Linked DNA regions of Caenorhabditis elegans. The protein of the gene in region 1 interacts with the protein of each later gene in a pairwise test. Each region holds a gene or a part of one and is shown in the gene's direction. Other genes may lie near its edges.

Evidence for each region.
Region 2: the proteins of cfz-2 (region 1) and ret-1 interact in a two-hybrid assay, tested with the Caenorhabditis elegans proteins (one large-scale study listed by BioGRID).
Region 3: the proteins of cfz-2 (region 1) and ceh-45 interact in a two-hybrid assay, tested with the Caenorhabditis elegans proteins (one large-scale study listed by BioGRID).

The regions. Positions count from the first base shown.
Region 1 is NC_003283.11:3,440,995-3,446,837, reverse strand, and holds cfz-2 (Frizzled-2), read left to right. Parts: upstream 1-1,960; 5' UTR 1,961-1,962; coding exon 1,963-2,163; intron 2,164-2,815; coding exon 2,816-4,091; intron 4,092-4,684; coding exon 4,685-4,810; intron 4,811-4,864; coding exon 4,865-4,998; 3' UTR 4,999-5,334; downstream 5,335-5,843. UniProt on the Caenorhabditis elegans protein: Receptor for Wnt proteins.
Region 2 is NC_003283.11:14,844,289-14,849,044, reverse strand, and holds the start of ret-1 (Reticulon-like protein), read left to right. Parts: upstream 1-1,732; coding exon 1,733-1,829; intron 1,830-2,448; coding exon 2,449-4,756.
Region 3 is NC_003279.8:1,126,504-1,132,398, forward strand, and holds ceh-45 (Homeobox domain-containing protein), read left to right. Parts: upstream 1-1,820; 5' UTR 1,821-1,855; coding exon 1,856-1,923; intron 1,924-2,706; coding exon 2,707-2,891; intron 2,892-3,302; coding exon 3,303-3,511; intron 3,512-4,718; coding exon 4,719-4,784; intron 4,785-4,969; coding exon 4,970-5,131; 3' UTR 5,132-5,262; downstream 5,263-5,895.

The DNA.
Region 1 (5,843 bases):
GTTCCGGTATTATAAACTCCTTGTAATAATAATTGCAATGATTGCAAAGTTTCTAAATTTTTTAGTTTTCCTGGAACTTTGCTCCTTTTTTTTAGAAGGTCGGTGACGTTTGGATATATTTGTTTTCAACATTTTGTACCATTTTTTGAATATTTTTCTGAATTTATTCACATTTTTAACTTTTTTAAAAATAGTTTTAAAAAAAGAATTTTCTTTAATTTCAAAAACAAATTATACTTTCGAAAACTTGTTTTTGTATCGGAAAAATTCTAAATTTTTGTATAATTTATCAGTACATTTTTAATTTTTAATCAACTTTTCGTAGAGTCGGAACTTTTTTTCTAGTAGTTTTCAGGATTTGCGATTTTAAAATTAAAATTATTTGAAGGTTGTCTAACATGACCAAACATCAGTAAAAACACTACAAAAAATATAGATTTTTGAAAGATTCCAGTCAGTTTTCGTAAATTGCCAAATTTTTAAAAAATGTGTACCTTTTGGGAAATTTCCACAATTAATAAAAAAAACAATTAAAATATAAAAATTGAAGAAAAATATGCAATTTGTTCCAATTATTTCAGTGCATTAAGAAATTCCAAAAAAATTTTTTAAAAGCTTTTACTGTAATTTTTGGTCATTTTAAAAACACATGCCAATACTCTTTAAAATTTTTTTAAAAAAATAATTTCCGGTCGCATGTTCCGACCCCTACAATGTTTTAATACAAACAAATAAAACAAAATTAAAGTATGAAAATGTAGGGCAAAAAATTTATTTTGATCGATTTCCAAAATTATGAGTTTTTGCCTATTGAGTAATTGTCATTTTTTGCCAGTAAATAAAAAATTTTCAAAAAGTTTTTGAAACGTTTTATCTTAATATTCGGCTATTTTGGCACCAAGTCAGTAGTTTTAACACTTTCCCTACTGGCGCTACTCCACCTATAATAATTTCAGCCCTATCCACATCTCTAACCCATCCTCCATTCCACCTGTTGTTGCTCACAGTGGGGGTCACCTCCTCCTTTTAGCACCTTCCAAAATTTTCCAACTCCTTGCCAGCCACCACTTTGCCCTCCCCTATTTGCACACTCTTCTCTCCTCCCCCTTTCCATCTCCCCCAGCTCATTCATATATATGTACATAACTTCAGTAGTTGTTGGTTGGAGGTGGTAGAGTCAAAACATATCTCCTCTTTCTAGGCTCTTCTTATGCAACCTGACACCCCTTGAATTCCATTCGTGTTCCGTTTGAGACCCCTATGCTTGCACAACTAGGTTACATACCCCAGCACGTAACAAAATTCTCGTATCCTGAGCCTTATTTATTTCTCATTTTCATAAATTTGTATATTCTTTTTTCAGATTTCATCCCAGATCTAAATATAGAGAATTTAGCTAAAAACATATCTAATTTGATAAAGACCTTTCCGATATATCTTGGTTGGATATATTTTTCGAGTGCCTGCAAACACTCTCTCCACATATCCTCCACTATTTCCCGCAAAAAAATCGTTTCCCCTTACTGGTTTTTTGATGCTTTTGATGCTCTGTATGATGAAAAAGTGCTCTTTGGGTATCTCTCTCTCTCTTATATTTTTGATACCGATCCGATAGCTGATCACTGGATGTTAGGTCAAAGCTCTTGTGTGTATTGTGTCATGATAGTAGTAGTACTCGGTAAATAGTGATAAGCGATCACAGTTTTGCTACGTGGATATTGATTTTTTTGTGTTTTAACGGATCATTTTCTCTAAGAACTCCCGTAACTTGACACCGATCCTCCCTCCTCAGGAGGAAGCGCATCCTTTGTACTTTTCCTGTCTTCTTATTCTCCTCCACCTTCAGCTACTTAAATCTCAAATTTCATTTATCTTTTTTTTTGTTTTTCTTTTTGTTCTTTCCTTTTTCTTTATACCTTTTCTAATATCTTTAACTTCAAAATTAACATTTTATTTCTAGATATGCTACTCCGGATCAGCGTGCTGTTCCTATTGCTTGGCTCCTGTGGGGCTCTTTTTGGAAAACGTCAAAAATGTGAGCAAATCACAATTCCTCTATGCAAAGGTATTGGCTACAATATGACATCGTTCCCGAATAGTTATGGACATGAAAAACAGGAAGAAGCCGGATTGGAAGTTCATCAATTTTATCCGCTGGTGGAGGTGAGTTTTTTAAACAATTTTCTATGAGGAAATATTTTTTGCAATAATGAAAAAAACAAAAATTGAATATTGCACCACAAATTGAGAAATTTTGAATTTCGCGCTAAAAATTCGAAAGACACCAAATTTAGAATTTGCGCTAAATTGAAAAAAAAATTAACTTGGCGCTAAAATTTTCGAAAAAAAAATCCGAATATGAATTTCGCGCTGAAAATTTAAATTTTTCAGAATGAGTTTTGCGCCAAATTTTTGAAAAAACTCAACCCTAAATTTTAAATAAAATTGAAATTTTTATATCACACCAAAAATTTAAAAAAATCTGAATTTGAAATTTCCGCCAAAAATTTAAAAATTAAAATTTTAATTTGGCGCTAAAATTTAAACAAGATTATAAATTTAAATTTGTTATATACTAAAAAAATGTGAACCTTAATTTAGTGCCAAAGTTGTTGAAAAAAAATTAGATTTAAATTTTGAGCTAAATTAAATAAAATCCAAATTTAAATTTCGCGCTCAAAATTTGCAAAAACGCAAAATTGAATTAGGCTCTAAATTACGACAAATTCACAATTTTTTTCGCAAAAATCAAGAAAAAAGTAAATTTGAAAAACTTACCTTCTTCCAAAAATCAAAAAAAAATTTATATTTCCAGGTCGGTTGTTTCCAACATCTCAAATTCTTCCTCTGCACAATGTACACCCCGATCTGCCAGGAAAACTACGACAAACCAATTCTCCCGTGCATGGAACTTTGTGTGGAGGCACGCAGCAAGTGCAGTCCAATAATGGCCAAGTACGGATTCAGATGGCCCGAGACACTGTCTTGCGAGGCGCTGCCAAAGATGTCGGATCAGATGTCGACTGGGAACATCTGTGCAGCTCCACCAGATACACCAAAGAAGCAGCACAAGGGGCATCATCATAAGAATCAGAACCAGAATCAAAATCAAAATCATAACTATAGTCCAGATGGCCCAGAAGTCGGAATTTCCAAGATCGACAATGAAGTAATAGCCGGTCCCAGCGAGTGTCAGTGCACTTGTAACCAACCGTTCCAGTTTGTGGCATCTGAAAAGTCCAAAGTTGGAAATGTAACAAATTGCGCCTACTCATGCCATTCCCCAGCGTTGGCCGAGAGTCATAGCCTGGTGAGCAACTGGATGGCGTTCTGGAGCATCACATGCTGCGTGCTAGCCTCCTTCACATTCCTCACATTCCTTATCGAGACCGATCGATTCCAATACCCCGAACGTCCGATCTTCATGTTGGCATTCTGTCAGCTCATGGTTGCCGTCGGATTCATGATTCGATATTTCGTGGGCCACGAGGAGATCGCATGCGACTCGATGAGGATTAAGGGGGCTGATGATAACTCTGGATCCTTGTGCTTCGTCGTTTTCCTGCTCACCTATTTCTTCGGAATGGCTGCCTCGGTTTGGTGGGTGATCCTTTCGCTAACCTGGGTGCTGTCGGCCGCTTCAAAGTGGTCCCCCGAAGCGATTTCCTCGTTCTCATTCCATTTCCACGTGGTCGGATGGTGCCTTCCCGCTATTCAAACTGTATTGGTAATAGTTTTTAATGCGATCGATGGTGATCCGATAACTGGAATCTGCTACGTGGGAAATACTGATCTACAATTCCAACGAATCTTTGTGCTTTTCCCATTGCTCGTATATTTCATCGTTGGAGTTTTGTTCTTGGTAATCGGATTCTGCAATTTGTGGAGTATCAGAAACGAAGTACAAAAGCAACATCCTTCACTGGAGAGTGCCCATAAAATCACGCAGTTGATGAGCAAAATCGGGATTTTCTCATTGCTCTACACAATTCCATCGTTATTGATTATCTGTGTTCTATTCTACGAGCAGAATCATCGATCATTATGGGAGCAATCGCAGTTGTGCTCATGCTCGCCAAAGCAAACTATCGGTGAGTTTTTTTTTAAACTATAACAATTTTTGATCTAAATTTCCCAGTAAACATTTTTTTCACATTAAAAAATTTCAGTTGCTCGCTAAAATTGTTTTTAGAAAATTAAAAAACGAGTTTTCTAAAAATTTTCCCAAAAATTTGTTTAATTCCACCAAACATTTTTTCTCAAAAATTCAAATTTTCCGCAAACATTTTTTTAAAAATTTGATTTTACCGCCAATATTTTATTTCGAAAAAATTGAATTTACCGCCAAAAATATTCTCTGAAATTTAGAATTTCATGATAAAAATTATTCAAAAAGTTTAATTTTTCCGCAAAATTTTGCCTCAAAAATTGTGAATTTCTTTCCACATTTCCTTTTCAAAAATTCGAACTTCCAGCTAAAATTTTTCTCAGAAAAAAATTTAAATTTACTGTCAAAAAGTTTCTCAGAAAATTTGAATTTCCGCCAAATTTTTTTCCTCAAAAAATGTTAAATTAGTGTCAATAATTTTTTTTCAAAAATTTTAAATTTCTCGCCAAATTTTTTTTCTGAAATTTGAACCCCCCCCCCCCCCCCTATTATTCTTCATAAATTTTAAATTTTCAGGCGACTCCTCACTGATCATCTCCCTTATCAAAACTTGCTGTATGTGCATTTTGGGATGGACGTCCGGATTTTGGGTGTGCAGCACCAAAACTCTATCGTCGTGGAAAAATGCTATTTGCTGTTTGGGTAAGTTGAATCTAGCTTGAGTTTAAACAAGTTTTATTAATTTAATAATTTTAGGTTCCTCCCGATCTTTACCCAAATACCAACCGGCAGACATACTTTACGCTAAATCTGACATGTCATCCTCACAATTCTACAACACAAGTCTCCGACACAACCATCTTTACGGAGGCATTCCTGACAAGCTGTAGTGCTCAAGAAATGCATATTTAATATTTGTGATCCCCGCACATCTACCTCTTCAGGACCAACTTTCCACAATACTTGTAGTCGTTAAAATTAGTTTTTTCTCATGAGCTTTTACCTCTTCTTTCTCACCATCATCATCCCATTGATCTCAAGTTCCCGGCATTCTTTCTCAGTTTTTTTAAAAGAAAAGTTTTTGCAAATAATTTTAATATCACAAATTTAATAACTAAAAACAATGTTTTTGTAATCTTATTAGAGTGTTGTTTTTTGAATACTGCCTGTTCCTCTTGTCGAGCTTTCGGAATGTACATACCTAATAAATATTATTTTAATTGATGATTTTTTTGTTGAAAACATTTACGGTATATTAGAAGATTATTTCATGAATATTGTCAGTCAAGACACTTGTGTTCGATTGAAATTCACTTTAAATGGCAGAAAAACGACCGTCATGACCGAATAAACTGTTAAAAAGTTTTTAACATTTTTTTTGAATTTTGCCTATATCAAAATGTGGCCAAACTGAATTTAAATTCCCACGCAAATGAGTGACGTCATTTTTTATATTTTCGCGTTTTCTGGCTAAAATCATGATTTTTCTGGATTTTTTGTTCTAAATTTAATACATGTTTGTAAATTTTCAGACACTTTTCCAAAGAAAAAACATACAAATCATTTACTATATATAAAGCGCGTGTCCTTCTGTCCCTATGTAGTTTGATCTTTGATCTTTGGTCTTTGAACTCTGTAGTCTGTAGTTGGAAGAGGTATTGGGTTGGAAGTTGGTGATGGATAATGTCAAGGTACTGTAGTGGTACTGTAGGAGTACTGTAGGTATACGGTAGGG
Region 2 (4,756 bases), about 11 Mb from region 1:
TATAATTAATTACCTGCCATTAGGTTTCTATCTTCTTTTCTATTGGCAGAATTATCTATCTTCTCTCGATCTTTTTTTTTATTTTGTTTTTTGTTTCATTTTCATTTTTTTTTCTCAAAATTTCATTTCACAACTTTCTCAAGTTACTCGATCAACTTCTTTCTTCTTTTCCAAAACTTTTTTCTGACAAAAAACTCTGAAACCCAACCCTCTCCCCCAATCCACGTCATCAAAACTCTCTGACCTACCTGTCAATGTGATTTACGATTAACAACAGATGCCCCTCTTACATCTGAACAGCCGACACAGCACGTGCTTTAAATGTTCTAGCTGTCTGCGTATCTAATATAAACTGGCATTTTTGTATGTTATAGATTGACAATTGACTGTAACTGGGGGAATGGAAACAGTTGGAAGTTTTCAAAATAGAGGTTATGGAAATAAAAACAATTTTGTTTGTTTGCTTACGTCACTCACCACACTCTTTCCATGAACATATGAGTTGATATCAATTGATAACATGGAAAAACGAGACAAATTGCATATTGCTATATTTATTTTCGCTTTTTCAGATGTCAGACTTTCTAAATTTTCAATATTGTTACTACTAGTACTGCTTCTTTTTTTGTGAGCTTATATCTTGGCTCATTTTTTTAAAAAGAGAAACGTCAGTAGGAGAATTGTTCAAAATATCTTCTATAGTGCAATTACCACTAAAAATTGCAAGATTTATTTACAATCAAGATGTGCCAATTTTAAATTTTCGCGGCTCATAAATTTGAAAGTCATTTTTTAAATCAACCAGAAAATGGTTTTTTATAACGGGTTTCAACATAAACGATTGTTTTGGATTATGTGAATTTGAAAAAAAATTTAATAAATTTGTAATGTTAAAAATATATTGTTGTTTTGGCAGTTTCAGAATTTTAATTGAATTTAAATTTGAATGTCAGAAAAAATTCAAAAATAAGTCAGTTATTGGAACTTTTTTTCAAAAAATATTTCCTTTGCCAATAAGCACTATAAAATCAGCAGTGAATTCGAAAAAAATTAAGTGGCTGTTAAATAAGTCAATATGCGTTTGAACAAATGACGTAGAAATTTGAGATCGACTTTTTCTTATTCACATTCGTGCTTCTCTGCGTGTTTTCCAAAACACGGTCGCTCTGTTTTGATTTCAACATAATATTTAAACAGGTGAACAGACCGCCATGCAAGATTTATCGGTCAATAAAAGGAAGCTGAAAAAACTAATTTCGAAACCTTCGAGAACAGAAAAAAAAACTGTTTCTCTTTCATGGGCAGGCATTTCATGAGATTTTTAAGTGCTTTCCTTTAAATAATTTTGAAGCCACCATGATTTTGAGCTTATCACTGACACCCCCATCTTTCCCCTATTGTCATTTGAAACGTATGACTTGGATCTCTGTTTGAGCTGAAAAAGAGATGAATGAGATGAAAGAGAAGAAGACAGAGGGCAACAACAAAAAGAAAAACAAAATAGCACAAAAGAGCGAGATGATCGAAAACCCCGAGAGAAAGCAAAAATGCTCATCACCTGCGGTGAGACGGCAGCTGTCCCCGCAGAAATATCATGTACCTGTGCGGAGACGCAGGGTATACAATCACATGGTGAACTCCTCGGGGTCCCTTCATCTCGTGTCAGCACATTTTTGTGAGCTCCAAAAAATTTTGTCACGAAAAACACCACTTCATGGATGCTGAAAACGAAATGAACGCTGAAAATGTCGATGTGGAACTTTTCTTTCGAAAACCACCGGAGATCACAAATTTTGAGTTGGTTAAGACAATTTGGATTGACCCGAAAGGTGAGTGTTTTTTCATATTTTTTTTAAATTTAGTTTGTAAAAATGCAGTTTGAAAAAAAAAAATTGAAAAAGCTTGATTTCTAATAGATTGTATCTCTTGCTAGTTTTTTTTGTGAATTTTGAAAATTTTGAAGTTCATAAGAAAAAGCATTATATAACTTTTTTAACTTAAAATTTCTGAAAAAAAACTTTAATAAATGTTCCACGTATCCAAGTAGGCACATATCCGATATCTACCTCTGAAATTTTTGTTTTTGATTTTTTCAGTTTATTTCTAGACATCCCGCAAAAATGATTCAAAAAATAGTTTTTAGGCATTAAAAAAGATAAAAAAAAATTTAAAAAGATAAAAAGGTAAAAAAGTCGACAAAATTATGTGGAAATTGTTTGGATTCCGATATATTTCGGAAAAAAATCTGAAAATCAAATTCGAAAACCCATATTAAAATATCGGAAAAGAGCTTTTGGAGCATTTATAGGTCTCAAAAATAAAGCAAAAAAACACTGAAATAATTAAAAATCAAAATTTAAAAGGTCGAGATTAATGCTTTGTCAAGGTCTTTCACTTAGAAAAAATAATATTCTTAAATTTCCTTGGAAAATCTTTTTGTCATTTCAGAGGAGACAAATTCCACAAACGAGCCAACATCTGAGCATGAGCCAAAATCCCTCCAGCCACTTGCTCTTCAACCCCTTCAAACTCCTGAGTCAGAGTCCGGTGGGTCCTCTTGTTCTCATTCGGAAGTTGAACAACTTCCTGACGATATTCTCAATGAACCTCTTGATGATGAAGTTTTTGAAGAAGAAGAAGAAAATGTGCAAACTGATTTACTGTTCCGTCAGCCAAAGAATTCAGAAATGGAATTAGCTTACACCATTTCAAAAAGTGCCGAAATCAACCTGGATGAATTGGAATTTGAGGATGAGGAAGTCGAAGTGGATCTTTTGTTCCGTGAGCCAACTGATCGTCGATTTGAATTGGTTTATACAATTCCAATGATGGAAGATGTGAGTATTGATTCTCAGGAAACCATTACTTTTGAGGACATTCCACCATCTGAAGAACTAGATAACGTTGTGGAAGAAGTTACAGATGTTGCTGAACTTACTGAATTTACATTTAAACCAGTTGAAAAAGATGAACAGACTGAAACTGAGTCATTCACTACAGTCCTAGAAGCGAATGCTGGAGAAGGTGCAAGAGACTTTATCGAAAGAGTTAAGTTGACTTCCAATGACACTTTGGATGATTTGGATGATGATCCTGAGGAAGAAACTTTCCAAAATTCGTTTGTAAAATCTGTGGACTCTAAGACGCCAACTCCAACAGGAGACAATTATGAAATTGAGGATTCCTCTGTATCTGATGTTCTCAAAGATGCAGCCGAAAAATTGCAAATAATTCGAAATTATTCTGCGGACTTGGAATCCGAAAAAGATACAATTAATACGGATGTTCAGCATGTCTTCATTGGTCTTGAGGATGAAGGTGGTGTTATACCAATAATCCAAGAAACACAAGAATATGTTGCAGAAATTGGACCTACTCAAGATAATCAAGAGTATGATTCTACTTCTAAAAGTGATTTGGAACCTCAAAGCTCTGCTGATGGGGTTGTGGAAACTTCGACTTTCGAAGCCCCAGCAGTCTTCGGATTGGAAGATTCTGAAGATATTATAAATAAGCATGCACTGGAAACAGCATCAAATCAAGAATTCTCGAAAATTAAAGAGCCTGAAGTGACTGAAGTTTCTGAAAATACCGCAGAAAATTTGAACGAAGAAGTTGGAGAATCTAAGAATCCGGAAGCAATCGATCTTGTAGAATCTGGAGAGAACGCAGGCATCGAGCAAAATGCAGGAGCTGAACAATCTCAAAAAGAAGCGGTTGAGGAAACTTCAAGTTTTAAAGCCCCAGCAGTCATTGGGTTGGAAGAATCTCGAGATATTTTGAAAGATCCTTTACTTGAAACTGCACCAGATCAAGAAAACTTCAATAATAAAGAATCTGAAATGACTGAAATTGCTGAAATTACAACCCCAATTAGACTTGAATCGTCTGGAGACAACTTCATTGGTACCGATCCAGAAAAGGGCACAGAACAAATTAAAGGTTCTGAGAGCTCCGAATTAGTAACCCAAGAAGTCATTGGGTTGGAAGAATCTGGAGATATTTTGAAAGAACCAGCATTGGAAACTGTAACAAACCAAGAACTTTCTGAAAATAAAGTTTCTGAAGTGACCGAAATTGCTGAAAATATAACCCCAATCGGACTTGAATGTTCGGGAGACAATTTTATTGGTACGGATCCAGAACAGCAGCCAGAGCCCATCAAAGGGATTGAAAGTTCAGAATTGGATGTCATTGGGTTGGAGGATTCTGGAGATGAAGTGAAACAATCACAGTTGAAATCTTCAGAAGATCAAGAATTTTCTGAACTTAAAGAACACGATGCATCTGGAAATGTTGATGAAACTGGTGAGAGCGCAGATATCAAACAGGATGATGTAACGGAAATTGTTCAAAGAGAAACGATTGGGCTTGAGGATTCTGGTCTTGCAGAGATTGTCGCTGCTCATGAGAAAAATTTGACATCTTCTGATATTGACAGTTCTGTGATTCCGGAAGATGCGGAAAATGCATCTCCAGAGGCGATTGGCCTTGAATCTTCTGGAGACAACTTTATCGGTACGGATCTAGAACATGAAGAAGGTCAGATTGACAATTGTGAGAGTTATGTATTGGAAACAGCAGCTGTCATCGGTTTGGAGGATTCTGGAGAGAACTTGAAAGATTCTGTACAGGAAGATCCACCGGAGAAAGAATTCTCTGAAAATAAAGAATCTGAAGTTACTGGGGATGTTGAAAATACAACTGCAATCGGACTTGAATCTTCAGGAGAACACTTCATCGGTCTGGAACAAGG
Region 3 (5,895 bases), on another chromosome or scaffold:
CTGTATTGAAAGAGTTTTAGGTGAGTATAAGTCATTATCTATACATTTTGACTCGTGGAAGAGTTTTTAGAGAATTTTAGACCACAAGAACAGTTATAGTCAATCTTTAAAATAAAAACTCGGACAAAAAATTTTTCAAACTTTTTTTTTTTGATGAATTCTCTTAAGTTCTGCGGTAAAAAATCCTAAAAAGGGTAAATTTAACACTCTAACACTACTCCTAAGCCTAAGCCTAAGCCTATGCCTAGCACAAGCCTAAGCCTAAGCCTCAGCCTAAACCTAAGCAAAAGCCTAAACCTAAGCCTAAACCTAAGCAAAAGCCTAAGTCTAGGCCTAAGCCTAAGCCTAAACCTAAGCCTAAGCCTAAGCCTAAGCCTAAGCCTAATACTAAGCCTAATCCTAAGTTTTTCCAGACCCCCTTATTCAATTTCAGCCGCCCCATTCTGAAGGGACACCTGTGTATAATAAGGGGAATGATCCGAATAAGGACGATCAGATATGAAAAGTAAGAAAATAAGGAAGGATCACCGACAGATATTCACACTTGAATGCACACCACCTTTCCCAAATTGAAACCCTCGCCCGAAGAAGGGACATGAGAATTGGAGAAACAGAGACATATTACATATTCTTGACACTGTGCCGCGCCGCCGTCAGGCAGTAAATCATGATAACTAATTGACAGAATGGAGAGACGGGTGTGTATGTATACAGGTTGACTAGTTGCCATGACATGTATATCTGGGTAAGAGCGAGTAGGCATGCCTGCCTTCATGGAATACCTTCAATGCCTACCTTGAGCCTATCAAGGCATGGCTTGTGCCTATTATTACACGTGGCGCCAGAGTTTGATCTACGTAGATCTACGAGACTTCTCAACTGATTTCGTATGGTTAAGAATGTGCTGAAGTCACGTTTTTTCGGGAAAAAATTCCCGCATTTTTTGTAGATCAAACCGCAATGGAACAGGCTGGCACCACGTGCAATTACTTTTCTTGTACCAATCAATGTGCCCTAAGACTATCAAAGCCTATCCCCACCTACCATGGTCTACCTTCAAGGCCTGCCTTGTACCTATCAAGGCATTCATTTTGCCTACACGCATGCCTACTCTAAAAACCAACAACATTTGAACTTGGAAAATAAAAAAATTCACCTGCCTTCAAAACGACCTCCGCCTACCGCGTGCCTATATAATTGCAAAATTTATTCTCCAATGTGTACTCCCATTGTACACCAAAATCTTAATGTACAAAAATACAAAAACCTGAGGGGCCTAGAATTTTAAAATTTGATATTCGAAATTCTAGGCCTTATTAAATATGAAAATAAAATGTGTGAACTCCTCTCGGACAAGTGAATATCTTCATTTTGAGGGTTCTCTTTAATTTTTCAATTTTAAGCTGTTTTCAGATATGTTTCACAAAATCTTGGTAGTCTAGAAAACCCCAATGGCCTAGAAATTGGAAAATCTAAGCCAAATCCTGGTCCTTGTAGTCGAGGAAATCCTTGTTTTAGGCTTTAGACCACAGACGTTCTAGGATTTTCGAAATGTATTTAAATACATTTATGACGTCATTTCTATACACTTTTCGATTTTCCGGCACGATGTTTAACGGAAAACTGAAATTCGAAATTCTAGGCCACCGATACAAGCAGGGGATCCTCAATGTTTCTCAATCTCTATTTATTCACACCTCTCTCCTCTCTTCCCCACTGCGCCAAACGTCGGCGCGCGACGAAGAAAGTGGGCGTGCCGGCCCAATCACCGCCAAAAGCACAAAAGTGGGCGGGCACTGATGATCTACGAGGGGAACAACACTGAAGAATCGCATCCCCCACTACGGTGTGACACATGGCATCCTTCCCGTTTTTAATGACACCTGAAACTATGAACAAATTGGTGACGCCGAATTCTGCAAGGTTGGTTCCTTTTTTTTTTGGTTCGTGTGAAGCCTTGGGGGGCTTTTAAAGGGGGTTCTGTAGTGTTAGTAAAGTACAATTTAGTATAAGCAAAAATCAAATAAAAAAGTTTTAAAAAAAAGTTTTTTGTTTCAAAAATTTTTTGTTTCAAAACTTGTTTCAAAAGTTTTTCCATTTTTTAAACATTTTTTTTTCACTTAAAATATTTTTTAAATAGGTTCGTACTCCACTCGGACAACTTATTAAAAAAAAAGAATTTTCTTACTGCCATAAATAATAATGAAAATTCAAGATTTTTTATACAAAATTCTAAACAAAATTTTGCACTACTTGTCCGAGAGAAGTACACCGGGGCCATTTCTACCTGAAATTTTAGATTTCTAAATTGTTTTTTTTTTTGAAAATTCACGGTGTTCTGGCGTTTCTCATTGAATTTTTCGTGCTCCATTGACAATCGCCCGCCTGACAACGCGTGGGAAAGTCGTGTACTCCACACGGACAGATGCACTTAGTTTTACAACTAAACTCAAGCCGCGACGCGACACGCAACGCGCCGTAAATCTACCCCAGATATGGCCGAGCCAAAATGACCTGGTTCTGCAAACTCTTCCATTTTGAAAATCAAAATCCTCCTAGAAAATTTCATGGTGTCCTAGGAATATTTTTAAAAAATATGTGAAGGGCTTTTCATGGAAGAGTTTTCCTCTGAAGACATTCTAGGCCACGGGGGTGAAAACAAAATTTTTCCATGTGTAATCCTCTCGGAACATCCCAATTTTCCAGTATCTCCTCGTCATCCTCCTCTCCGTCCACATCAACCTCATTCTCAATTGACACATTGCTCTCGAACCCGTTGGCCGGAATTCCGCAGCTTCACAATTTTCAAGATCCATTTGGAGCAGTGGGAGCCGCAGCGGCGGCTTCTGCCCTGCCATGGCAGTTTCATCCGGCTAATTATCCGTTTTTCTGTAAGTTTTTGTGTGGCCCACGTGGAGCGCATTTTTCGTTTTGTCGGTAATTTCAAAAAATCGCAAATTCGAATTTGGATAAGAACTTTTAAAAAAATCAATATCGCCCACGTCGATACACCGGTAGTTTATCAAAAGAGCGCACATGCTTCAATAACAATCTCCATTAGAACTAAACCACGTGGTGCCAGGCTGTCCCATCACGGTTTGATCTACAAAAAATGCGGGAATTTTTTGCCCAAAAATCGTGACGTCATGCTAAATCAGTTGAGAACTCTGCGTCTCTTCTCACGCATTTTTTGTAGATCAACGAAGATCAAGCCGAAATGAGACACTCTGACACCACGTGATAAACTAGAAGGAAGCGATGCTGAAAATGCGCTCTACTGTTCAAAAACTAAAATTTTTCAGCAATGCTCTGCGGACCACTAATGCCTCCATTCATGGCTCCATATCACCATCAACACTACGCCTCCCGACGAAAACGCCGGCATCGTACCATTTTCAGCGAGGAGCAGTTGAACATTTTGGAGACCACATTTTCAACGACACACTACCCGGACGCTACGACGAGAGAAGAGCTCGCGGTTCAGTGCTCATTGAAGGAAGAAAGAGTTGAGGTGAGTAAATGGAAGAGGAGTGACGTCACACCTAGGCCACCGATTTTGTAAGACTGGCTGGCCTAAATTAAATTCCTGGGGACTAGAAAATTCAATGGCCTAACAAAAGCGCGGAGCAATCCTTGGCCGTGTAGTTCTCTTGGGGCGGCTTTTCAGTAATTTTAAGATTATTTGAAACAGTTTTGAAAAGACCCGCAAAATCTAAATTCCGCGGATTTCAACCACCCGAGTTTTTTTCCAGAATTTTTTAAGCTTTTTGGTGGTTTTGAACGACATTTTGATGCAAATTAGACAAAAAAACTCGGGTAGTTGAAATCCGCGGAATCACATTTTCCCGGAAAATTTGTTTCCGCGGATTTCAACTACTCGAGTTTTTTTCTAAATTTTTGACAGTTTTTTGGTGGTTTTGAACAACATTTTAAAGATTTTTTAAAAATCTTATGCGAATTAGACTTAAAAACTTGGATAGTTGAAATCCACGGGACCGAAACCCCATAGAAATTGAATTTCGTGGATTTCAACTACCCGAGTTTTTTTCCGGAATTTTTAAAGCTTTTTGGTGGTTTTTAACCACATTTTGAAGGTCTTTTAAAAATCTTATGCGAAATAGACAAAAAACTCGGGTAGTTGAAATCCACGAAAGTGGGTTTTCCCGGATTTCAACTACCCGGGTTTTTACAGATTTCAAAGTTATTTTTTCGCAAAAAAAAAAACAATACCCGAACATTCCGGGTTAATGAGTCCATTAAACCCTATAATACCATATAGCTGTGTTTCTGAGGAAAACCGTCTGTGGGGTAATCTCTAATTACAACCTCTCACCTGCCTAAATCGTGTCGGCCCTTTTCAATTATTTCATCACCACCAACAGCTCTTCTTCTTCCGTTTATCTTCTTCCACCTGCCTCACTCACTTAACCCGGCAAATCTCAACCTGTAGAGGATGAGGGGGGCGCTGGAAGAGGAGTGACGTCGTCATAGTTCGGCCGCCGGCGCTGGCTTGATCTACGTAGATCTACAAGAAATGTGGCAGAGTTTTTGACTGATTTTGTATGGTTAAGAACGTGCTGACGTCACATAATTTTGGGTAAAAAATTCCCACATTTTTTGTAGATCAAATTGTAATGGGGCAGCCTAGCACCACGTGCCTTATCAATTGAATAATCGATTTTTAAAATAATATTCTTTAAATAAATTTTCTCTTCCAGGTCTGGTTCAAAAATCGTCGGGCAAAAGAGCGCAAGCAGAAGAAGGACGACAGTCGGACTTCTAAGGTAAGCTAGTACACTTTTTGAAAATTAATTTTCAAATGCGCTCTACTGTACTCTCACGGTCTCCCTCCATCACCGCCAAGAACGGTAAAATTGGCTCAGTGGTAGGCGCGGTTTTTTGTGTCAACAGTTTTTGGTTCAATACCCAATAGTGATTTTTTTTTACCTAAATTTCTCTACATTTTCAGCACAGCGGAGACGATTCCGAATGTGACGAGAGCGACGAGGACACCCGAAAAGTGAAACGGATAAAACGCGAAAATTCCAGCGGAAAAGAGACGAGCTCGCCCGAATCAAAAGCCTCACTGAAGACATCGCACAGCGAGAATTTGGTGTTGGAGCCTTGTTAGCATATAATTTGAATCTCTATTCCCCACCTAGCTGGAAATCCAGGCCACCCCCTCTTTATATTCTAGTCCCCCCCATCCCCTCTCATTTTGTCAAGTCAATAAATGTATGTGGCGAATTAATCCGATTCTAATCACGTTATCATTTTGTTGTGGTGGTTGGTTACTGTAGATAATCCCCCGTAAAATTCGCACCGCCCGACCGGTCTCTGGCGGATTACTGTAGCCGTTTGGGGGGAGAGGGGGGTTTGTAAGGAAAATCACATTGCTAAATTAATCGAATTAGCATTTTTATCAGCAACGATTTATGCGTGTGTGTGGAAGGTATTACTGTTTTAAAGAGGAAGTACGGTATTAAGATACCTACCCTGAAGGTAATCATGTGGAAATTTGATGATGTTCTCAACAGAGCGCGTTTGCACACCGCGGTGTGACACCTAGCTGTCTCCAGGCTCCCCTACGCCTCTCGCACCTGCCGCCGACCATTGGTGCGGCTCATGGCGCTGATTTAAGGCACCAGTCCCTTGTTCGGGGGTTCCACTCTCTTCAGTTTACTTTTGCATCGATGCACCAATCTGCAAATCCGGTCAAAATCCGCCGCACTAATCCCACCCGCTGCCGAAGGTCCCAAATCTTTTGCAAATTCTCGTGGGAAACGTTGCGAAGTCATTTTAAGAGGCTAATCCAATGTTTTCCAAAGAAATTAGAATTATTTCTGAATTATGAATGACAGAGAGGAAAGCAGATTCCAATTTTCGCTGTTAGAA